Linked DNA regions of Canis lupus familiaris. The protein of the gene in region 1 binds, or shares a complex with, the protein of each later gene. Links are inferred from orthologs where the notes say so. Each region holds a gene or a part of one and is shown in the gene's direction. Other genes may lie near its edges. The genes, in order: IRGQ and GABARAPL2.

Region 1 (11,380 bases):
TTGCTTAGTGGGGTGGGGCTCCATCATTGTTGGGTTTTCTGGGCCTGGGTAAGGTCTTTGGATGTTTTTTACAGGATGCCATTGGAGGATTTTAAATGAGGAGTTGTGTGTGCTGACTTAACGTACACTGGATGTGGTCTGTAGTGGACCGGAGAGGGCAGCTGTGGTCGCAGGTCTGGGGTGGGGGTGGGGGGAACACTTAGGAGATCCCTGTGGGGAGGGCCTGTCAGACTCCAGAATTTAGAAGTTGAGTACACAGTTGACCGATCTGATGGTAGTGGTGTAGGTGGGGGCTGTAGGAGTCACACTGACCCTTTTTATGTTTTGGGGACTTTTATTCATCATCCAAGTGACTTTCTTCTCCTGGGGAGAAGTCTGGGGTTTGAGCTGAACATAAAGATTTGGAAGTCACCAGGATGCTATTTAAAGTCTTGGGAATCTATGACATCTGGAGAGTGGAGAGAAGAGGAAGAACACAGGCAGGCTGCTGTCTGTCTCAGGGGAGCATGTGTGATTAGTGCCTCAGGTTTGGGTTTGAGGGAACCGCTGTGGGGGTGGTGTGAAACATCTGGGTTGGAGACTTCTGAGCTATCACCAGGTGCAGAGGAAATGTTTGGCTTTGGTGAAGTCGGTATTTTAGGATAGAGTAATGGCCGACTGACTCCAAACCACCAATTTCCCCAAAAGTCACCCCAGCAGAGCTCCAGGCTGGCTGGCCCTGTCCAGATCCTACAGGACACACACACAGCCCCCTACTAGAGGTAGTATTTCCCAGGGTGGGAATCCCGGCTTCCGGGCTCAGAGTAGGTTGTATGTCCATCAGGCAAGAGGTCAGCAAACTTACTATAGAGGACCAGATGGCCCTTTACTATTTTAGGCTTTATGGGCCATACGGTCTCCATTGCAACTAACTACTCAAATCTGCCGTTCTGTGCTACCGACAGGCTGTAAATTATGCTGCATGTGACAGAGACCCAAAATAATGGTGATTTAAACAAGATTGAGGTTTATTTCTCTCTTATATGATCGTATGGAAGTGGATATTCTAGGGCTGGTATGACGACTCTGCTCCATGTAGTCAACAAGGGACCCAGGCTTCTGCTGTCTTGCGGCTCTGGCATCCCATATATTGCTCTCATGGTCCAAGATGGCTGGATACCATGTCCACACTCCAGGCAGGAAGGTGGAGGAAAAGGCGTGTCCCTTTCTGAAGCTTGAGAACTCTACCCAGGATTTAGCCAGAACTCCGTCACCGTGCCACACCTAGCTGCAAGGAACCCTGGGAAATGGAGTGCTAGTAGCTACCATGTACCTAGGTAAAAATTGGGAAACAGCTATCCTCTACCAAATTTACCTCAGCTATGGGCTTTAAAAACATCCCTCAGTTCAGATAGTGTCTGTAATTATTGTATGCAGGGCATCAACCGGGGTCTCTAAGGGGGGCAGGGCAGGTAATCCAGAGTCCTGACCACACTCAGTACTGGCCTGGTGGGACCCAGCCCAGGGTTAGGGGTTTCAAGAGCTGAAAATAGGATCTTAATGGGAACTCTCCCAGTGTTGGCCAAATACAACAGGAAACAGAAGGTATCCCTGTTTGATTTCAAACCAGATTCCCCACAGGGCCAGGCCAGCTCTGACCTGAGCTCCCCCCTCCCAGTGCCCTTCTTTTTATTTATTTTGCGAAAGCGTGCGTGTGCACATGCGTGTGGGGGATGAAAGGGGGCGGGGGTGTGGGTATTGAGAATCAAGCAGGCTCCCTGCTCAGCAGAGCCCGAAACCAGGCTGGATCTCATGACCCTGAGGTCATGACCTGAACCAGAATCAAGAGTCCCACATTTAACCAACTGAGCCCCCTCACTATGCCCTTCTTATATTTTCTGGCAATTCCTGCTCAAAAGCCAGAGTTTCTGGTTTAGACATTTTAATACAGATCTTTTCTGTTTTTAGATACTATTTGCTATTTTATTCATGTCATCTCACCTAAACATCTAGAAAATATTCCATGACTAGAATGGTACATGAAATTAAGCGGGCAATAGATTACTGGGGAAGGAGCCCAAATCCAAATACCAAGGCCCCTCAGTGAGTGGGAAAGACTGTGACAGGGAATGGGAGAAGACAGGGACTTGAATTGCAACCCCCACATGACTCAGACAGCCCCCAACTTTGCTACCGCACCCCAAAGGCCCAAGTTTCCCCACATCTGAGACCCTTCCAGGGACATTACAGCCCCGCCACACCTCACCCTCCCTGTCCCCCTTCAGGCACAAAACCAGGGGGAATTTGCTCCTACAGCTCATGGCATCCATCTGGGAAGAATTAAAGGTGATTACACAATCTGCAGCTAGTTGTGATTTCAAACTATTTAATTGGAAACAAGGGAGATACAAATAACAATTTTCCCTTTTGCTTGTTCATTTCTCTTAAAAGATTTCACTAATTTCGCTATATCCCTGAAGGCCTTTGTGTCCTCCAAAGACTGAATCTGGAGATGAGCATCTTCTGGGTCCTATTTATCAGGAGTCCTTTGCCTGTCCAGGGAGGGAAGCACATCCTTCCAAGGCGCCCATCCCTTATCAGAGGTGGGTTCTAGCAGCCACAGAACCCATCCCCCCCACACACACACCCATTGCCCTAGGGAGGGTGTAACCCTCACTCAGAGTTCCCCCCGGGCATGCCGGATGTAGTGTTGATGCAGCCCAGCTTCCTGGGCAAAGTCCTGACCACACTCAGTGCAGGCAAAGGGGCCTGGAGGGACACGGGTCTCATGCGCCTGGCGGTGCCGCCTCAGAGAAGCAGCCTGCCCAAAGGTCTTGCCACAGTCAGGGCAGGGGAATGTAGGGTGGGCAGCGGTGGGTGCAACTGGCGTGGAGGGCCTGGCTGCTGGACCGTGGCTGCGCTGATGGGCGAGCAGGGCCTTGGAGGAGGGGAAGGAGCGGGCGCAGGTGAAGCAGATGAAGAGGGCCCCCTGCAGCTTCTGGGCCACGAAATCAGCTGGGTGCTCCCGCTTCATGTGACGCTCCTGGAACTTGGAATCGGCGAAGGTGATGAGGCAGCGGGTGCACTGCGGGGCCCCCAGGTGGCCTGAGGGACGTGGGGAGAGGTCGGGGGAAGCCAGCAAGAGTCACCAGGACCTCTCCCAAGCCCCAGGGTCTTGCCAACAATTTACATTCAGTGCTTACTATATGCCAGCTGTACGTCAGGGCTGGACAGTGGCACAGGCAAACTATTACAGGACGTTTTATGGATGAGCAGACTGAGGCTCTGAAAGGTTAGGCAACTTGCTAGGAAATGAAATGGTGGAGTCAGGAATGGAACCCAGGGAGTGTGCTCTCCCAGCAGAGCCATGTGATTAGAGCACAGCCTCTGGAGCCAGACTACTTGGCACTGAATCCCAGATCTGCCACTTCCTAGGCAAGTACAACGGTTTCCTCATCTGGAAAATGGGGTCATAACCATATCAGTATGGTTGACTGATCAGTACAGTTACAACTACCTCATGGGGTTGTTGGAGGGAGTAAATGGGTTATTACTTCATATAAAGTGCTTAGAACAGTGCTACACAGTGGTTTGTGGTTACTCGTATTGAGAAAGAGAAAAGCAGCTTGACAGGGGCTGGCCTGGCACTCACAGCTAGGCCTTGGTGTTCTCCTGTTGAACAGAAGCAGTTTCACAGAACCTTGTCAGACAAAGCCATGCTGTGACTGAGATGAATCACATCAAGACCATGCCAGAGTAACGTCTGAACACAGACAAAACATGAACATTGTCCAAGCCACAAAAATGACCAAACATCCCCCTATCCTGGCTCACAGGAGGGGCTGCTGCTGCTTTATCAATCACAGCTTGAGCCTTTGTACCCCCCCTCCTGGATAAGATTTATTTACACAGCCAACCTATCTTTTGCCCCTACTTACTGGCAGCATTTAATTGGAACAAAACCCTTCCTTGAACCTTCTCCCAAATCACCTAAGATAAGTCCTTTCTAACACTGAGATGCCCCACAGTGCTTCAGGGTGTGTGTGCTTCCTCAGTGCAATGAGCGATAAACCCAACTTGTTCAAATGCAGGTGTGTTCCTGGTGGTCTTTGGCCGGAGGACCTTGACACTGGAGCTCATTGTCCCAGATAACCTCTTTGCCTCAGTTCCCTTATCTGAAAGCAATGCCAATTCCATTGGGTCTGTCAGGAGGACTGAGATAATGAAGGTTAAACTCTTAGAAAGCGCCCAACACCTAGTAAGCATTCAGTAGAAGCTGTTGCTATCCTATGTCAAACTGGCTACCTCTGCTAACAGCAGACTCCCCGATATCAAACCTTCCCCATCTCTGCCACTAATCCCCTTTACAGCCGTGTCACCTGAGTAGTGGCAACCTCTTTTGACAGGGAAACCCGAGCCCAAGTCACACACCCAAAGTCTGGGGCAGAGTTGGCACTGGAACCTCGGGTCTCCTCTCTCAGTGTCCAACATTTTCTCCCACCCAAGCCTCTCTGGGTGCCACTCTGTCCGTCCAAACTGCAGCACATTCGAACTTACGTGGCCAGAGCGGGATGGGTACATCTGAGCACAATAAAGGTAAGGGTAGAGAATGGCAGTTCCTGGTAGGGCAGCTTATAAACCATTTATTACAGCCCCTTTGCAGCAGGCGAGTGCTTGTTACATGCCTGGGACACTGAAATCCTTTTAGCTAGCTAGCATCGGCTCCAGCACCCCACCCGTCTGGCCAGCAGCACTCACAGATGTCGCCTCCTGGGCTGCGGGGACTCCTCTCCTGGGACGGATCCTGCTGCTCCGTGGCCCCTTCGAGATGCGGGTCCTCCATAACGCCTGGGATCCCTCTGGTCAAGAGAGCAGCGCGCATGACAGGACAGTAAATCAAGTGAAGTCGCTCATGTATCCATTGCATGAAGGGGCCCGCAATCCTATGACCTCCGGCAGGCTCCCCTTGCTTCCCGCCCACCCCCACCCCACCCCACCCCACCCCGTAAGAGGCCATCCTCTTGAACTCTAACCTGGTGGAGCTCTCCTCAGGGAAGCTTCGACCCTCTCAAAAGATCCGACTCCCCAGGCCTGTGATACCCCGTGGAGCCGTCTGACCTGCGTGAGACCTCTGGCCTCCCACATCTAACTCCCTGAAGTGCGGGCATGGAACCCTTGATCTCTTGACACCAGCTCTCCCACGTGTCTTGAGGCAGGTAGTGGCGCCCCGGGTCTAACCCGCCTCCTCCCGGGAGGCATCTTTCTCTGACATCCTGTGACCCTCGTTCCACCCCGGGCCCCCGCCTCCCACGCGCGCCTTCAGCCTCGGTTCCCTCCTCCCGAGGCCGGGTAGCCCCAGGCCTCGGCTTTTCTCCGGACAGCAGCGGGCAGCTCTCGTGGCGCCAGTCGGCCGCCTCGTCACAGCGCCGCCACCCGGAGGGAAGCGGGGTAGGGCCCCCGAGGCTCAAGGTCCCAGGGGCTCCCACGCCCTTTCGCCGGAGGAGCCTCTCGACGCCGAAAGCCCGGCTACTATCCGGCAGTGATGCAGTCGCGCCAGCCGGGTCCTCAGAGAAACGGGAGGGGTCCTTCCCCGCAGCGGGATGCGTTATGATGACGTCGCGGCCGCCCGTGCCGGACCGACCTCCGCTTCTTGCGCAAATGTGGCCGGGCGCTGCTGGCGCGCAGGCGCTCTGACTCCCTCATTGTTCGGGGCCCCGCGGCAGCAGCAGGGGGGAGCCGGCGCGCTTCGATTGCTCTGCGCAGCCGCCGCCAAGGGCTGTAGCCCCGAGGTCACGCTTCCAAGACACACCCCCTCCTTAAAAGAGTGACGTCAGGTTAGAGCCCTCGGAACGGGTCTGGACGGCCCCCCCTCCGCCCCTCCGCCCCAAATCGGGGCGCCCTAACCTCTTCGGCCTCCGTCCGCCCGACCCCAAGGGCGGGGCTTCTCAGCGGCTGACCCGCCGCCGCGGATCGCGCTCTCCGGTGACTGCCAGCGCTTTGCTCGGTTAGTGGTTTGGAAGGGAGGAGTGCGGGAATAAAAACATCCATGTCCCTGAGGGAGGAGGGGCCTGGAGGTCCGGATGTCTAAGATTTTGAAACCGAGAGAGTGGGGCGCCTGGGCGGCTCAGCCGGTTGAGCGTCTGTCTTCTCTCAGGTGATGATCCCCGGGGTCCTGGGGTGGAGCCCCGCATCAGGCTCCCGCTCAGCGAGGAGTGGGCTTCTCCCTCCGCCCCTCCCCCCCGGCTGTGCTCTCTCTCTCTCTCTAAAATCAATAAAATATATATTTTTAAATGTATCCAGAAAGAGGGCGGACAAGCCACCCGGGTCCTTGGGGAATAGACAGGGCGTGGGTGCCGGATGTTTCCCTGGGAGTGACACGCAAGAATGGAGGGGGGACAGAGTGAGCAGACCAGGAAAGAAAAAGGTCGAGTGCTCCCTGACCCGGGTCTGCACCACCCCCTTGCCTTCCAGGTATGCCACCGCCACGGGGTGACGTGACCGCCTTGTTCCTGGGGCCTCCGGGCTGTGGCAAGTCCGCGCTGATCGCAGCGCTGTGCGACGGGAATGTGGAGACCATAGAGATTCCCGAGGGCCGACCGGACTCCGGGATCCCCAGCCTGCGAGCATTGGGCCCTGGCCTCTTCCTGGGCGAGCTGAGCTGTCCGCCCGCAGCGCCAGGGCCCTGGGCGGCGGAGGCCAACGTGCTGGTATTGGTGCTGCCCGGCCCCGAGGGGAACGGGGAGCCCCTGGCCCCAGCGCTGGGAGAGGCAGCGCGGGCCGCCCTGGCCCGAGGGACCCCGCTGCTGGCTGTGCGGAATCTCCGCCCTGGGGAGTCACAAGATGAAGCCCAGGCCCGGGATCAGACCGCGGCCCTGCTGAACGGCGCGGGGTTGGGGGCCGCTGCTCTCTTCGTGCTGCCCGCGGACTGCGGCCGCCGAGACGGCTGCAAGGAATTGGAGCGCCTGCGGGTGGCGCTGCGGAGCCAGGCGGAGGTGCTGCAGAGGTGAGCGAGGACTTGAGGCCTAGTGCTTTACATTTCACATCCAGAAAATGTTCTTTGAGATCGCGAGACCCCACCCCCAGTGAGTTTGGGGCAGGCCTTAACAGGATAGCTGCTGGGGGCCCTGCTCTCTGGCCCTGGTCCTGCCCCTCAGCGCAGGTTTTGAGGTCAGCGAGGCTCCACTCCAAGCCAGCACTCAATGCTGGAGCCTTTCTTGTCTTCTAGGCTCCGCCCCACCAAAAGGTCAGCTCGAGGTTCTGACCCGTCCTCCCAGGTTCTGCCCCCCGCAAGCATTCTCAGGTCCCAAGCCCTGCTTCACTGAGCATTTTAGGAGAGGCGAGGACCTAATGCCCAAATACTTCCCCCATGGCAAAAGTTTGGAGGAAGGCTTACTCAGCACACAAGCCTGCGATCCCCGCCAAGATGTTACCCAGGGATTCACACTTTCGAGCCCTCCTCGTCCTCTCCACCTTCAGCTTTGCTCCACCTTCAGCTTTGTTCTCAAGCTACACTAGTCCTTGTAAAGCCACACCCTCAGTGAGCCTTGCCCTTTCTGGATTTCCTCCCCCTCTGCCTTTCTTTAATCCCAATCCCATCTCATTTCTATGCCCACTCGCTGGCTACCTCCTAAATCCTCCCCCCCCCCATCCCTGGCCACCTGTTTTATAGAAGTCCAAATGAGGCCCACTGGGTCAGTGCACATCTTTTTTCCTTAGCCACTCCTTGGTAAGCACTAATAAGCGAGGCTTTTCCCCTCACTGGCCCTTCTTCGCCTCAGTAAACCTAGTCTCTGCAAAGAGCGCCCTGGGTGACCTTGCTCCGGTCCAAAGGTGCTTGCCTTTCCTTTAGCCCACAATACAGTTGCAAGTCAGTCTTTGCGGGAGCCCCATCTTCCAGGAGTTTTGCTTGGCCTTTCTTAACCCTGCAAGGCCCTTGGGAAAGTGCCCCCTCCCCCAAAGACTGAATCTCAGAGAAGATTTAGCAGGTTTCCCTTTTTAGGTTTTGTCAGAAACCTGACCTCAACCAACCTGCCCCCCTGCCCCCATTTTATTTTTTTGTTTTTTAAAAAGATTTTATTTATTTATTCATGAGAGATACACAGAGAGGCAGAGACACAAGCCGAGGGAGAAGCAGGCTCCATGCAGGGAGCCCTGATGTTGGACTCCATCCTGGGATCACGCCCTGAGCTGAAGGCAGACGCTCAACCACTGAGCCACCCAGGCGTCCCCTTCCCCCTGCTTTAAGCCCTAATTCCTATATATTTTATGATGAGTCTGGCTCCTCTGTCTTCTTTCAGAGGTTATTCAAAAACTCCACCCATATCATCCTAGTCTGGTCCCATCCCCATAATGCAGCTCTCCCGCGTTTAAACCCTCTTCTGCTCTTGACCCTCCCTTTCCCTGTCCCCTTAGGCTCCTGCCCCCGGCACAGGATGGCTTCGAGGTACTGGGTGCGGCAGAGCTGGAGGCCGTGCGGGAGGCTTTTGAGACCGGTGGCCTGGAGGCGGCGCTGTCGTGGGTTCGCGCTGGCCTGGAGCGACTGGGCAGCGCGCGGCTGGACCTGGCCGTGGCCGGCAACGCCGATGTGAGCCTTGTGCTGAACGTGCTGCTTGGGCTGGATCCCGGTGACCCTGATGCCGAGCCTGTTTTCATGCCCGCGGGGCCCACGCCCCACCCGGCCCCAGAGCGTCCCAATGTGGTGCTCTGGCACGTACCTCTGGGCTCCGCGGGCACTGCTGCCGCCACCCCCCATCCGACCCACTACGACGCCCTCATCCTAGTCACCCCGGGGGCCCCCACTGAGAAGGACTGGGCTCAGGTTCGGCCCTTCGTGCTGCCAGATGCGCCGCTGGTCGGCGTGCGAACAGACGGTGAGGGCGAAGATCCAGAGTACCTGGAGGAAGAGGACGAGGCGGAGAAAGAGAAGCCCAGCTGCGAGAGCTTAGAGAACACAGGCGGAGAGGGGGTGAAGAATGCACGCAGTGAGGGAAGGGAGAAACGTGGCCCGGGATTGCAGAAAGGTAGCGAGGAAGATTCCGAGAAAGCAGGCAGCGGGGAAGGCTCGGAGAAAGCGGGCAGCGAGAGTGTGCCGCCTGTTGGCGGTGGCGGGAAGAAATCAGGCAGTGGGGACGCGGAGCGTGCGGCCGCGCTGAGCCCCGAGGATGAGACGTGGGAGGTGCTGGAGGAGGCGCCGCCACCCGTGTTCCCGCTGCGGCCTGGCGGCCTCCCGGGGCTCTGCGAGTGGCTGCGGCGCGCGCTGCCCCCGGCCCAGGCGGGGGCGCTGCTGCTGGCGCTGCCCCCCGCGTCTCCCCACGGGGCGCGCATGAAGGCGGCGGCGCTGCGGGCCGGGGCGTGGCGGCCGGCTCTGCTGGCCAGCCTGGCGGCGGCGGCGGCGCCCGTACCCGGCCTAGGCTGGGCGTGCGACGTGGCGCTTCTGCGGGGTCAGCTGGCCGAGTGGCGGCGGGCGCTGGGGCTCGAACCCGCCGCGCTGGCTCGACGCGAGCGCGCGCTCGGCCTGACCCCGGGGGAGCTGGCGGAGCGGACGCACTTCCCGGGCCCGGTGACGCGCGCCGAGGTGGAGGCCAGGCTGGGCGCGTGGGCGGGCGAGGGCACTGCGGGGGGCGCGGCGCTGGGGGCCCTTTCCTTCCTCTGGCCCGCGGGCGGCGCGGCGGCCACCGGCGGCCTGGGTTACCGCGCGGCGCACGGCGTCCTGCTGCAGGCCCTCAGCGAGATGCAGGCCGATGCCGAGGCGGTGCTGGCACCCCATGTGCCCGCGCAGTGAGGGGTGGGACGCGGGTCTGGGGGGCTGCCGGGGTGCCCAGTGTCCCTCCTGCTTGGCTCCCCCAGGGGCTGAGGACTCCACGTCCTGGTTAGAGGGATAGGGATTGGGGGGGTCCAGATGCATGGGATGTCTGGGCCTCTGAGGTAGCGGAGCTGGGGGCCACCACTCAGAATGCTGGGTGCTTGAAGGGAATGAGGGCTTTGAATTCATTGGGGTGGACTTTAAGATTCCAGTTGCTGGGTGGTGGGAAGTCTCCATCTACAGGAGGGAACAGGGGACTGTGCAAAAGAGCTGCAGAACCTTTGATCAGGAATAGAGAGATGTCTGTTATTTGCTGCTGGGGGGTGGGGGGGGGAGGGCCTGGTGAGCCAGATTCTTTTCCCAGCTGTTGTGGGGAGGATGGTCCCAGAAAAACGAGGGAAGTAGGCAAGAGGTCTGGGCATGGTGGGCCCTGGGGGTAGCCAGAGACCAGGAATGAGGCCTTCTGGTGTGAAGGACAGGAACCCATACCTCAGAGGTATCTCCCACAAATTCCTTATGGATTTGGACCCTGGCAATCACCTCTCTCAGTGCGAGTTTGGAAAGGGACATGACTACCCGCCCCCCTTTTATAAGTGCTGAGTGATTCAAGGGATCTTTGGTGTGTCTGTTCCTTTGTCCCTCTTTCCCTTAGTGGTTTCTATCTCTTTTTGGTCTTGATTTCTTCTATCATTAAGCCGAACCCTTTCTGGCCTTGATATTTTATACTCCTGCCTTTTTTGGAAAAGCAGCTATAATGCTGCACTGACAGATATTTCTGTGTTGGCTACCTCAGGTGTCCCCAAGAGGCTCTGCCCTCTGGTGTACACACAGGGCTGCGGAGAGCAAGAGACCCACAGAACAGCGAGGTAGTGTTCCAGACGGTGGGAGTGTGCCGTAAGTGAAGCAAAGGCAGAAACCACAGTGCCTGGAATGTTCTAGGCTGCCAACTATAGGTAGAAAAGATGCCACAGGTTACAGAGTTCTTGTATCAAAAAGCAGGAAAGGGGGACCCAAAAGGCCATTAAGTAGCATCTCTTTTATGAGAGATGGGGAGGGCAAAGCCCAGGGAGGGCAGGCTCTAGGCCCAACAACACACAGCAGGGTCCTATGTGGTCTGGCCCCAACCTCATCCCCTAACCAGCCTGATCTTCCGATGCCTGGGTGGGCCACCTTGGATCCTACCCCAGGATCTTTGCATTTGTTGTTCTTTCTGCCTAGAATGCTCTACCCCCGGATCTTCCCATAACTGGTTCCTTCTTATCAAGCAGATCTCCACTCAAACGTCCCCTCAGAGAAGCCATCCCTGTCCAGTGTAACTGAATCAGCTCACACGCCCCCATTACTCTTCTCAGCCAGTTATTTCCCTTGCAGCAATTTTTACTGTAGGCAATTACCTTATTTATTTATTTACCTATTTAATAGCTATTGTCCTTTTACCTGTTTTGTTCTCTGCTCTACCCCTAACACCTAGAAGAGTGCTTGACCCACAGTAGGTGCTTAGTAATTATTTCTTTTCATTCATTAGTCAGTGGCAGACTGGAATTTAGATTGTCGGCCTCTTGCCACAAGACAGGGAAAATGAGCAAGGTGGGGAGAAAC
Region 2 (11,380 bases), on another chromosome or scaffold:
GGCAACCTAGAAATAGCTTTTAGATAATGCAGCTGAGATCCTAACTACATAGATGCTTGAGGGGGCCAAGAGCTGATCCTTCGGAAAAACTATCCAGGGTCCTCACCGCGGTTCAATCGACAATATGAGCCATAAGATTTTTTTTTAATTAAAGATTTTATTTATTTATTTGAGAAACAGAGGCAGAGACACAGGCAGAGGGAGAAGCAGGCTCCATGCCGGAAGGCCGACGTGGGACTCGATCCCGGGTCTCCAGGATCATGCCCAGGGCTGAAGGCAGCGCTAAACCACTGGGCCACCAGGGCTGCCCCAGCCATAAGATTTTGACAGATCTGGTTCAGTACTACTCATCTTTGCTTTAAAGCTTCCCTAGGGTGGCAACACAGCTCTTAAATATAGCAATTGTTAGGCTTAAATCTATATTATGATTCTGACGTTATACTGTATCAATGATTTAAGTGAATGACTTTCATTTATTCAAGTAACAAAACCATATAATTTAATTCATATGTGGGACTTCAGAAAACAAATGAACAAAGGGAAAAAAAGAGACAAACCAGAAAACAGACTATATTATTATATAGAACAAACCGATGGTTACCAGAAGGCAGGTAGATGGGAGGATCGGTGAAATAGGTGAAGGGCAATGGGGGGCTGACACCAAACACTTATATAAGAGAGCGCTTATCTTGATGAGCCCTGAGTAATATATGGAATTGTTGGATCACTATGTTGTATGCCTGAAACTAATACACCACTGTATGTTAACTACACTGAACTAAAAATTTAAGAATAACCATTAAAATAAGATTCTGGAATCGATGGTTCTAGTGTTACCTCCTGAGTGCAGCTCTACACCAAGGAAAGAGGCATTTGCCTTCAAAGTTCCTTCTTTCAGTAGAAGGAAACACATACTGTGGCTAGTGTCAGCTTAGTCACTGCTGAGAACAAGGTGGTGATTCCTAAGAATTTAGGTGTGTGAAGTGCCTCCCCTGAGATGCCATGAGCTTTGCAAAAGTATTTAATAATAATGGATACTAATACTTACTCTTTGCTTCCATTATTTGAAGAAGCTAATCTTTGTGGTCTTATTTTGATTCTTTAAGAGGGAATTTTATTTTTATTTTTATTTTTTATTTTTTTTTGGAATTTTAGTTTTTAAAAATGCTAAAGGTCTGTGTATATTGTGTCATTGTCATATATTCATAACTGAGAACTGACTTCTCTGTTTCCATTTCCATAATTTTTTCATGTTTCATAAAATTTACTTTTTAAAAAAGATTTATTTATTTTAGAGAGAAGGAGAGCACGTGAGTGGCGGGGAGAGGCAGAGAGGGGGAAATAAGCAGACTCCCCTGCTAAGTGCGGAGCCTGACCCCAGGATGCTGAGCTCATGACCTGAGCCGGAACCGAGAGTCAGACACTATACCTACTGAGCCTCTTAGGTGCACCTTCATAGAATTTACTTTTAAGGACAAAGAGAGTTGTTCTCTTAAAACTACACATTTTGATCACGTTCTACTCCTTTCTAAAAGCTCCCATTCAGGGTATCTCGAATCAGTTCAGAACGCCTGAATGTTCACATCAAGGCTTTCCAGCATTTGTCTATATTGCTTCCCAGTTCCCTCTTCTAACCCCAGTCTTTGTGTCTATTAAGCGAAGTTTGTCCTTTGAAAAATGTACACTTCTCTCTGACACATAAGATTCACATTCTCTGTTTAGTCTTTTTTGATAAGCCTCGCTTGGTTTGGTGTCAGCCCCCATTGCCCTAACCATCCTTCAGCATTCAAGTGCAGGACCTCTCCAACATCTGAAATTTATTCTGCATATTTTATAAGTCTGTTAATATATAACTGCATACTTTAATTATCCTATTTTTTCTTCTGAGTCATCTTTTCAACTAGCCACCCCCTCAAGGAAGGCATTCGGTATCTTTAGAACATTCAATAAGCTAGTATAATGACCCCATAGGTAAAGAAGGTGATGCATATCATCAGGGCAGATCAGAGAATCCAATTAGAATGGTGAACTGGAAAAAGACATCAAAGAAGTAAGTAAAGATAGAAGACAGAAAAACACTGCACCTTACGAAGACCATCAGGTTACACTCCTGTAAGGGGTGACTTATGGGATCTTTCCACTTTGATTCCTCAGTGTTTAATTCTATTTGCAAAATAGGTATTTTCAGTTTTTTCATTCACTCTCTAGCTGATCTCATCAGTTCAATAGCTTTAAATACTTCTCTCTTGAATTTGAGACTCATAGATCTATTCACTTACTCCATATATCTTCATTTGGATGTGTCCCTTGGGCATCTCAGACTCAATAGAGCCAAAACCAAACCTTGATCCCCACCTCCCCAACTGGCTCCACTCTATTTCAGTAAATGGCAATTCCATCCTTCTAAAAACTCTGACTTTGACTTGTCCCTCACACTTCATATTCAATCTATCATCAAATTTTGTTGGTTGGCTCTACCTTCAAAATATATCTAGAATATAATTGCTTCCCACCATCCCCACAGACATTATCTTGGTCTAGGCCAACATCATCTTCCACTTGGATTATCACAATAGCTTCCTAATTGTTTTCCTGACTTCCATTCTCAAACCCTTAGAGTCTGTCTACAAAAAAGCTAGCCTGCTCAGTTCAAAAGGAAAGCCATACCATGTCACACCTCTGCTTAAAATCCTCTACTTCTCATTTCATTCTAAATAACATCCAAAGTTCTTCACATGAAATTCAAAACTCAACAGCTGGGCAGCCCGGGTGGCTCAGCGGTTTAATACTGCCTTCAGCCCAGGGCCTGATCCTGGAGACCTGGGATCGAGTCCCACGTCGGGCTCCCTGTGTGGAGCCTGCGACTCCCTCTGCCTGTGTTTCTGCCTCTCTCTCTCTCTGTCTCTCATGAATAAATAAATAATCTTAAAAAAAAAAAAAACTCAACAGCTTTGTTACACATATCTTTGATCTCATCTTCTAACATACCCCCCCTTGCTAATTCAGCTCCAGCCACAAGGGGTTCCTTCCTGTCCCTGATTATGCCAACCACTTTACCTGATTAGCATTACCCCACTGTCACTCGTCACCAACCCTGCTTTATTTTCTAAACAGCGCCTACCATTACCTGACATTTGTTGTCTTATCCCACTAGAAACTCCTTGACAGCTGAATGTTCTGTTCACTGCTTTTCCTCAACACCTAGAACAGTGCTCCTGTATGCAGCAGTAATAATTTCTAGGTATGAAATTCAAAGGGCTTTTCACTTCATTAAAAACAAGCAAGCAAACAAAAGCCTATTTTGGTTGCTCAGACAATCTTAAAATAACCAAAATGCTTCTAGAATGAAGCTAGATTCCACAGCATCCATCAGGAATTACAACTATGGGAAATGGTGAACGACAATATTCACACATGCAATCCTTTCAGATGCATCAGAATCATAAGCACATGACAAGGATCATGTGCCCAATTAAATGAATATTCTTGTTACATATTCACCAGCTAGTAAACAGATGTTGACCCAGAGCAGACTGTCCTGATGACTCTGCTAGGAAGAAAGAGGTGACATCACTGGAGAACTCAAGGCATATGCTCAGGCAGGTGACACACGTACGCACAGCCTAGACTGTGATTGCTGAACTCCATGCTGACTGCCAAAGAAATTTGTCTCATGACTCTCAGGGGAATTCTCTCAGCCAGACAGTCACCTCTAAGTCCTCTGTAGTTAAGGTTAAGGGGTCTCTTTGTGATCAGTGAGATGTTATGCTCCTCAAATGTCTATTTGTGATACATGTGCTTACATGTTTAGTCAAACGTTTATTTATTCATGAAAAAAGGAAGGAAATAGGGTTTTGTTTAAATTCCATTTCTAGGTCCAAGGCCACCTGTTTTGGCTGTCTCCAATACTGAACCCCCGGCTTGTCATCAGAACCTCTCCCCACACAGGCCCCTCAAATTAGCCACACCCTCCAACCTGTTACCACTCCAAACAATACTCCCCAAACTGTCAATGCGCTAAACAGATCTCCCCCACCCCGCCATTATCGACCATCAGAGACCCCTCGTCTGTCACTCATGCTCCAAAATTCCCGACACCGAGACTTCCCTCATGAAAAGCCCTCTGAGCGCCCTATCCTATCAGCCAGACCCCCAAACTCCTCTTCCCGTTACCAACGTCCGCCGAGACCCGGTTCCTGTTAGCAGTTCCCGACAGCATCCCCTTCCCCGTCACCGAAACCCCTCCAGGACTGCCGGGTGGCCAACGTCATCAGCCCCACTTCCTCGTAGCCTCGCCTCGCCCCGCCCCGCCTCGCCGCTCGCCCCGCCCCTTTGAATGTGGCCACGCCCCCTGGCGCGGCGTCCCGGCGAACTGCGCCGGAAGCCCCGCCCCCGGCCGGTTGCTAGGCTCCGGCAGCCGGAAGTCCCGCCTGCCGTGTAGTCGCCGCCGCCGCTGCTGCCGTCGTTGTTGTTGTGGTTGGTTCGCTGAGCTCCGCGGCTCCGAGAGCCGGCTGCATCCCTTCCCCGCCGTCGCCATGAAGTGGATGTTCAAGGAGGACCACTCGCTGGGTAAGGCTCCGTCAGAGGCCGGGTGGTGGGGGTCGCGGCGGCGGGTGGGCCCCCTCCCCCACTCGGGCCGCCCTGGGCTGGGCCGGGCGGGGCGGATGCCGAGCTGTGGCCTCGGGTCGCGGAGGCCCCGGCGCCCCCGCCGGCTGCCCACGGACGCTGTGCCGCCTTCTGCCCTCCTGCCGGGAGGCGGGGGCCGAGGACCGAGGCCGCCGAGACGCCGTAACAAGGACCCGGGCGTGCGCAGGTCGCTGGGGGAGGTGGGTCGGGGGCGCGGGAAGCGGCGGACGAGCAGGCGCGACCGGCAGCCCCGTCTGTTTCCCACAGAACACAGATGCGTGGAATCCGCGAAGATCCGAGCGAAATACCCCGACCGCGTTCCGGTGAGTGCACTCCCCGCCCCCTCACCTCGTCGTCACCCCGTCGTCTAGGACTCGCGATAGGGCCCCGGGCCACTCAGCAGTTGATAAGTTGAGGTTCCAGTCCCAGTTATAGGAGCAGACAAGCCAGACGGGGCTCGGGGCCTTGGGGGCCGTGGCGTGAGGGGCTTGAGCAGGTGCTGTTCAGGGTGCCTCAGTGCTGAATCTCCCGATCTAGGCCAGCGAGCTGTCTGCAGCCTCTGGGCTCCCTCGCCAATTATGTAAGGAACGATGTTCTAGGACAGGGCAACAGGTCACTGCCACTTTTGGGAACACTGGTGGAGGGAGACTGTCACTTTGGTCTTAGAAGTGGTACTTTAGTCTCAGGACACTCATCTTTAACTTTGAGCCTCTGTCTTTACTTGATTTCTAGCTCCCTTTCCTCACTCTGACCCTGTCATCCTTTGCTGACCAAAAAAAATCTGAGAAGCCTCTGAGAACTCCCTTCTTTCGTGGTTCCTCCTTAATCAGTAATAAAGATCCTGTTTCTTCCGTGGTAGGGGTAAAGTTTCTATAATTCTTACTGATTTTTAGAGGACATCCGTGTCTGTTATTGTAGCTCTTTGTTTGAACAAGCAAAACTCTGAGGAGGGGTTAGGAGGGACACATTTGAAACCTAGTTCAGGGAGAAGCAACAGGCCAAATGAGGAGCTTGGTTTACTCATTCCCATTAGTCCATCCATTCCTCTCCCCTTTGTTCCTTGGGATCTTACTTCCTCTGTAGTGTGAAGGCAGATTCATTCTGGAGTCTTGGAGTAACTGGCTGTAGATGAAACCAGGTATCTCAGGTCTGCCCAGACAAAATGTCGAAGAGCTTTGTAGTAAGGGCGTGTGTTTCTCTTATGCTCGCTGAGATGCAGGATGATAAACATAATTGACCACAGAAAAGCACTTTCTGTTTCCATATCATACATTTATGTCAGTTCTTAACCTCCAGAGTTAAGAGTTTGTGGTTTATTAAATCAGGGGCATATTTTCCAGTGTTGTGCAGTTTCCCACCCACCTCCTTGCCCACATAGTATTCATCAGCTCCCTGGCAATGCAAGGCCAGAGCCTCACTTTAGAAACCCAGTCCTGATCTCTCTTTGCTTTCCCAGGTGATTGTGGAAAAAGTCTCAGGCTCTCAGATTGTCGACATTGACAAACGGAAGTATTTGGTTCCATCTGACATCACTGTGGCTCAGTTCATGTGGATCATCAGGAAAAGGATCCAGCTTCCTTCTGAAAAGGCAATCTTCCTGTTTGTGGATAAGACAGTCCCACAGTCCAGGTGAGAAGTGTTTACTAGCATTGGCCACCTGCTTGGCTGCTTACAGAACTCTAAACTTTGGAGGTGAGAAAACTCTTAGAGGTCCTGACTGGAAATCTGGATGTTGTGCTCCCTGACATGAGGAGCTCAAGGAAAATAAGAAAGGGCTACAGTATCTGGGAATATACTTTGGGTTAAGAAAATAGAACAAGGTTGGACTTAAAAAAAAAAAAAAATCTAGCCTCAGACCCTGATGAATACTTTAAAACAGTTCAGGATTTACTTAGGCTTAAGCCATCACTAGAACCTAAATGAGCCTAAAATTAGGTTTTCTTTAAATGACCCATGAAATAAGTCCTGTCGTTCTCCACTAGGGGCTTGTGGGCCCTGCTGAGGCTCAGCTTCAGTTAATCATCCTCCTGCTTGCTCTCCAAACTTAGTTCTGTGCCACTGCGAGTGTGTAGCTGTCTGATCCTCAGGTATGCTGGAATGGCTGCTGTCCAGCAAAAGGCTCTGAGGTCTCTTTACAGACTTACACCCCCCCTCGTAGCACCTGCTCCGACTGTCAGAGTAACCGCCCCCCTTGCTCTAGCTGTTGTGCTGCCTAGAAGCATTCTTTGGCATAACTTGGGGCCCGAGTCTTCTGGGGCATTATAATTCTCTTCTTCTGTGTAGTTGACAGCCCAGCTTTAGTCCCTGGTGGAAAAAAGAAAATGGACTGGCTCCTTCAAAATTCCTGGTCAGTCCTTTGCCATTACTGGTTGAGTATTAGCCCTTGAGCCAGATGCTAGTCCCTCTCCCCCGAGTGTGAGTTCCTGGCTACATCTCATCTTGGAGACTCCAAGTAAGTCTCATTGGTTACTCCCCTAAAGGTAGTACTTCTGCAAGCTTAGGCTTTCAGAATCCCTGGAACTATCCCAGTTTGGCCAAAATATGTTCCCTTTGAAAATCCTTGAAAGCTCCAGAAAAGACCTAAGCCAAAATCTAGTCCCTTTCCTATGACAGATAGCTCTGGCTATTTTTTTATCTGATTTACTTTCCTAATCTCCACCACCTCCATTTCCTGTGTTTGGCAGAGAGGTTGGGGAAAAATGAAAGGTTCTTCAGTAAGGTCAGTGTCCAGCCTGAGGAGATCCGCCTGGCCTGCCTGCTAGGTGCTGTTGGTCTCCTATAGCTGTTGTTCAGGAAGCTGTGGTGTTGGCAGAGGCGGTCTTGACACCTGGTGGGGCTCTTCCAGCCTTCCTTCCCCGACCTCCAGGCAGCATGGTGCTGGGTTCATCAGGTTAGGAAGCCCTGGGCATCTGTAGTCGTAACTCAGCTTCTCTTAAGGTGGTGGAGAGGTGAATCTTCAGTCATCACACTGCTGATCACTTGACAGCAGCACACACAGAACTGCCACAGGGTCTCCTGCTAACTCCATCTCCTGCAGCTTCTGCAGAGTCTGGGTAACTCTGTGTTTCCTCCTTCCTGGCAGTGGCTTCTTAGGGAAGGAAGCAGGTGTCTAAGACCTGTGGCTTTGAATTTATTTGATCAATTCTTCTGATTTTTCTTTTCCTTTTCCTTTTTTTTTTTTTTTTTTAAGATTTTATTGATTTATTTATGAGAGACACAGAGAAGGCGGAGACATAGGCAGAGGGAGGAGCAGGCTCCTCGCAGGGAGCCCGATGTGGGACTCCATCCCGGAACTCTGGGATCATGGCCTCAGCCGAAGGCAGACGCTCAACCACTGAGCCACCTAGGCATCCCACTTTTGATGTTTCTTAAAGGAGATGTGCAGGCTTCTGGAGACACTGTTACTCTGATGGCCTCATGTTAATCTAGCAATTAAAATGGCTGCAGATTAGCAACTGCCCCCTCCCTCCATTATCCCTGAGATATAAATAGAATTGGAAATCAAAAGTAATTCTCAGGGCAGCAGAGGCTGCTTCCTTTTCTCTCCCAGTCCCATTTGCCTTTCCAGCCTGGTAAGAATCTGCCCTAAAGCAGATGACACCAGTGACCCCTGTCAGGATTTTAGAGAATCGCTAACCAGGCTTCCTCTGCCCGGGCCTTTGGCCCCAGTTAATGACTTTCTGTCCCCACACTTAATACAGCGATTTGGTTTTTTTAAGAAAATTTGTTTCTAAACAAAAGTGGTATATGACATCACTGGGCCTTATGCAAATACTGATCACTTGACAGCAGCACACACGGAACTGCCACAGGGTCTCCTGCTAAAGCTAATGTGTGACTCAGTCCTGCCATCTCCTCCCCAAGGCACGTTAACAGCAGCCTCTTCCTCAGCTCCTTCCAGCCTCCTTAGGAAGTGCGGGGCCTCAACCTTCCACCAGTGCTTGCAGCCTTCAGAAAGTGGCTGGGGAAATCAGAGTTGGAACGGATGAGTCCAGGCCTAAGGAGGCTTCTCCCATCCTATGACAGATTTGCGTGAGGATCACTTGAGAGGTGGGAGGTGGAGCTGAAGTAACTTCAGTTATTCTTGCCTTGCAGTGGGACTTTCGGAGTATTCTGGAACACAAGCGATCATGTAAAATGTGGTTATTGTTTAGACTAGTGAGTATTAAATACTGATTCTAGAAATAGAGACCAAGGCAAGTCCCGGAGTTTTACTTCCTAAATTCTGAGTTCTGTTTTTGTTTTTAAAGCAGGGCAGAGGGGGTAGGATCTCAACTCCCCTTTCCCATTTAGCATTGGAAAGTTGAATTCTCAGCCTAGGATCCTGCATCCAGAATCAGGCCAAAAACAAAAGAATTGTCCCTTGGTGCAGACAGAACTCAAGAAAAAAATACCAGTGTACAGACTTCCAGTCATGGCAGTAGCAGGGAACCCAGACCTGGCCGTGGTACCTACCTTTTGATCTTTGTTTAGAACACAGAAGAATCTTGTTAATCCCTGCTTAAAATAGAAGCAGTAATATATTTTTAAAGTATCTCTAACGTGTGATAATTTGGGAATGTTACACTTGGAAACGTTTTTTAAGATTGTGGTGCTTAGTTGCTCCTTTGATCTTGAAGAGAAACTAAGTAAAAGGAAGTTGTGAGATCTTATAGTCCCTTTATCCTTTATTTAGAATTGTGCTTAAACACTTTTGATCATTTCTAGGTAAATACCTCTCCAAGGGTTTATTCCAGCAGTAATGCAATAGGGTTTTATTTATATCAGAGAAAAAAGTCCGACAAAAGGGATAGCCAGTAGTTAATTTTTATTTTTTAGAACATCGAGAGCCTTCATGGTTAAGTTGACTTTCACTCTGAGGTGGTTGCCTTTCCAGGGTCCACGCAGTGGCCCCCGCCCACAGCCCTGCTGGGCAAGAGAGAAATCCAGGTCCAGGGGAAGCATGTGGGCTCTGAAGCAGATGGGTGACCAGGTGTGCCTGTCGGTCCAGCCAATTCGTGAGTCAGGCTGGAGCCCACAGCCTTCAGGACCTGACCTTGGTCGAGGGCCATGGGAAGGTTCTGCGGGGATTAGGTGCCTGCTCAGTGCTCAGTTCTAGGCCGGCCTCCCCCAGCATGTGCTCTCAAGGAGCTTCAAGCTCATGTCACCCTTGGCAGCACTGCTGTTCCCAAATTTGGGCCCTTTTGAAAGGTGCTGTTATTATTGGCTAGTTTGTCTGGATCTGTGTGACCCTGAATGTAGGGGTGAGTAACAGAGTTTTAGGGGCGGGGTGAGTAACAGAGTTTTAGGGGCCACTTTAGGTTCATGAGAGTCAGTACATCGGGGTCCCACCAACGCCTTAGATGGGCTCTGTGGCTTGAATCTGCCTGCCCTTGGCTTTTCCCATTTCTTTCCTTGTCAGGCTCAAGCATTTGGAAGGTGGCAGGGCTCCTGGTGCTTAGCAGCACCCTTCTGGGGTGAGCGCATGTAATAGTTGATGCCACAGCCCTGTGTCTTAGTTCTAGGGGCCCGAGGTCGCCTCTGTCTTCCTTAGCAGTACCTGCAGCAGGAAGGCTTAGAGTTACAGCGCTGCTCGCCGGTTGTCAGGCCATCCAGCGAGCCTGTGCAGCTCAGCCTGACAGGCACCTCCAAGCCACCTGTGTGAGGATCCTTGGGCATTTTGGCTGTGGCCTGCCCAGCGCTGTGTGGCTCAGGTGACCTCTTGAGAGCGAAACTTATCTTCTCAGAGGCTTGGAACATGTCCTAAACTGACACGCCAGCCTCTTCCTGGAGACTGCCCACTGACTAGGGTCGCCTTTTAACTCATTTCTTTTTTTTAATGGGAGTTAATAAATTTAAGCTGCAATTGGGGCCCAGCTCTTTTTGGCTCCAGACCAAATCATTCTGGCTTTGTATGTGTGTGGCCTGATCCTGTAAGTCCTATTTTGAAATCATACTGTACAGATGTTTCAGTCTTGTTTCATGGCACTCAGTGTCACATCAGAATTGGGCATTCGGTCACAGGCTGCTGAATGGAGTGTTCTGCTCCCAGTGTTGAATATCATCAGTTTCCAAGTTCGCCCAAGGGGTGTCCTGAGTTTAAGGACCCAGTGTGGCTCCCAACTGAGTAAAGTTTCCACACGAGGCTGTGTGACAGAAAAGAACAGCAAGAGGATTCTTAGAGTCACAGGCACAACCATCCAGTTGTTACATTACAGGATCTGAAGAGAGAGCTCTGACACAGAGGCTGGCAGTGGTGGCCTTACTTAGGCACCTGTTACAAATGTAGAATCTCAGGCCCCACTCTGACCTACTGAATCCAGAGAGACTCAAACTAGGCATGTGTGTGATTTCGGACACACATGTGTATGTGTGACAAGCACTAGTCTTGGGAGATGTGTGCAGAAGGCACAAGATGCTGACATTAGGGCAGTAGAACAGATCTGTGTATTCACTTGGAGGGAGCACAGCTTAGTGCTAAGGATGTGTCTTAGCTTTGTGATATGTCTCACTTTATTATTGCCTTACTTTTATTACCTATAAACTGGATTGTGATCCTTTTGAGGATTATGCTGCCTCCGAAGATTGCTCTGAGGATAAAAAGAATATGAACACACTTAGAATAGTGCTTGGCACATAAGTGCTTTTGTAATTAGGATTTTTATGATCACGCTCTATAGCTGCTGGGGGCATGGATTAAACAGATTTATAAACCCAAGTTTTACTTAAAAGGTAATACAATCAGAAGGAACGAGAGCCACATGATTGTGGGTCT

Evidence for each region.
Region 2: the proteins of IRGQ (region 1) and GABARAPL2 are in contact, whole or in part, in a crystal structure (PDB 8Q6Q), measured with the Homo sapiens proteins. The link is inferred for Canis lupus familiaris from reciprocal best matches to the Homo sapiens genes IRGQ and GABARAPL2. Residues at the interface, in NP_001007562.1 of Homo sapiens: Asp7, Thr9, Leu11, Pro47, Leu49, Phe57, Pro70, Trp71, Glu74, Pro181, Ala182, Gln183, Asp184, Gly185, Phe186, Glu187, Val188, Leu189; in NP_009216.1 of Homo sapiens: Ser10, Glu12, His13, Cys15, Val16, Glu17, Ala19, Lys20, Ile21, Ala23, Lys24, Tyr25, Arg28, Pro30, Lys46, Lys48, Tyr49, Leu50, Val51, Pro52, Phe60, Ile63, Arg67, Phe104.

The regions. Positions count from the first base shown.
Region 1 is NC_049222.1:112,243,615-112,254,994, forward strand, and holds the start of IRGQ (immunity-related GTPase family Q protein), read left to right. Parts: upstream 1-5,396; 5' UTR 5,397-5,983; intron 5,984-5,993; exon of another isoform or gene 5,994-6,133; intron 6,134-6,450; 5' UTR 6,451-6,452; coding exon 6,453-6,982; intron 6,983-8,391; coding exon 8,392-9,760; 3' UTR 9,761-11,380. Other genes in the region: ZNF576 (zinc finger protein 576), read right to left, coding at 2,657-3,084, 3,183-3,284, 4,738-4,822. UniProt on the Homo sapiens protein: Autophagy receptor that specifically promotes clearance of misfolded MHC class I molecules by targeting them to the lysosome for degradation.
Region 2 is NC_049226.1:75,810,411-75,821,790, reverse strand, and holds the start of GABARAPL2 (gamma-aminobutyric acid receptor-associated protein-like 2), read left to right. Parts: upstream 1-3,920; 5' UTR 3,921-4,535; coding exon 4,536-4,569; intron 4,570-4,893; coding exon 4,894-4,949; intron 4,950-6,082; coding exon 6,083-6,255; intron 6,256-9,414; exon of another isoform or gene 9,415-10,669; coding exon of another isoform or gene 10,670-10,751; intron 10,752-11,142; coding exon of another isoform or gene 11,143-11,195; intron 11,196-11,380. Other genes in the region: ADAT1 (tRNA-specific adenosine deaminase 1), read right to left, coding at 10,705-10,751, 11,143-11,195. UniProt on the Homo sapiens protein: Ubiquitin-like modifier involved in intra-Golgi traffic. Modulates intra-Golgi transport through coupling between NSF activity and SNAREs activation. It first stimulates the ATPase activity of NSF which in turn stimulates the association with GOSR1.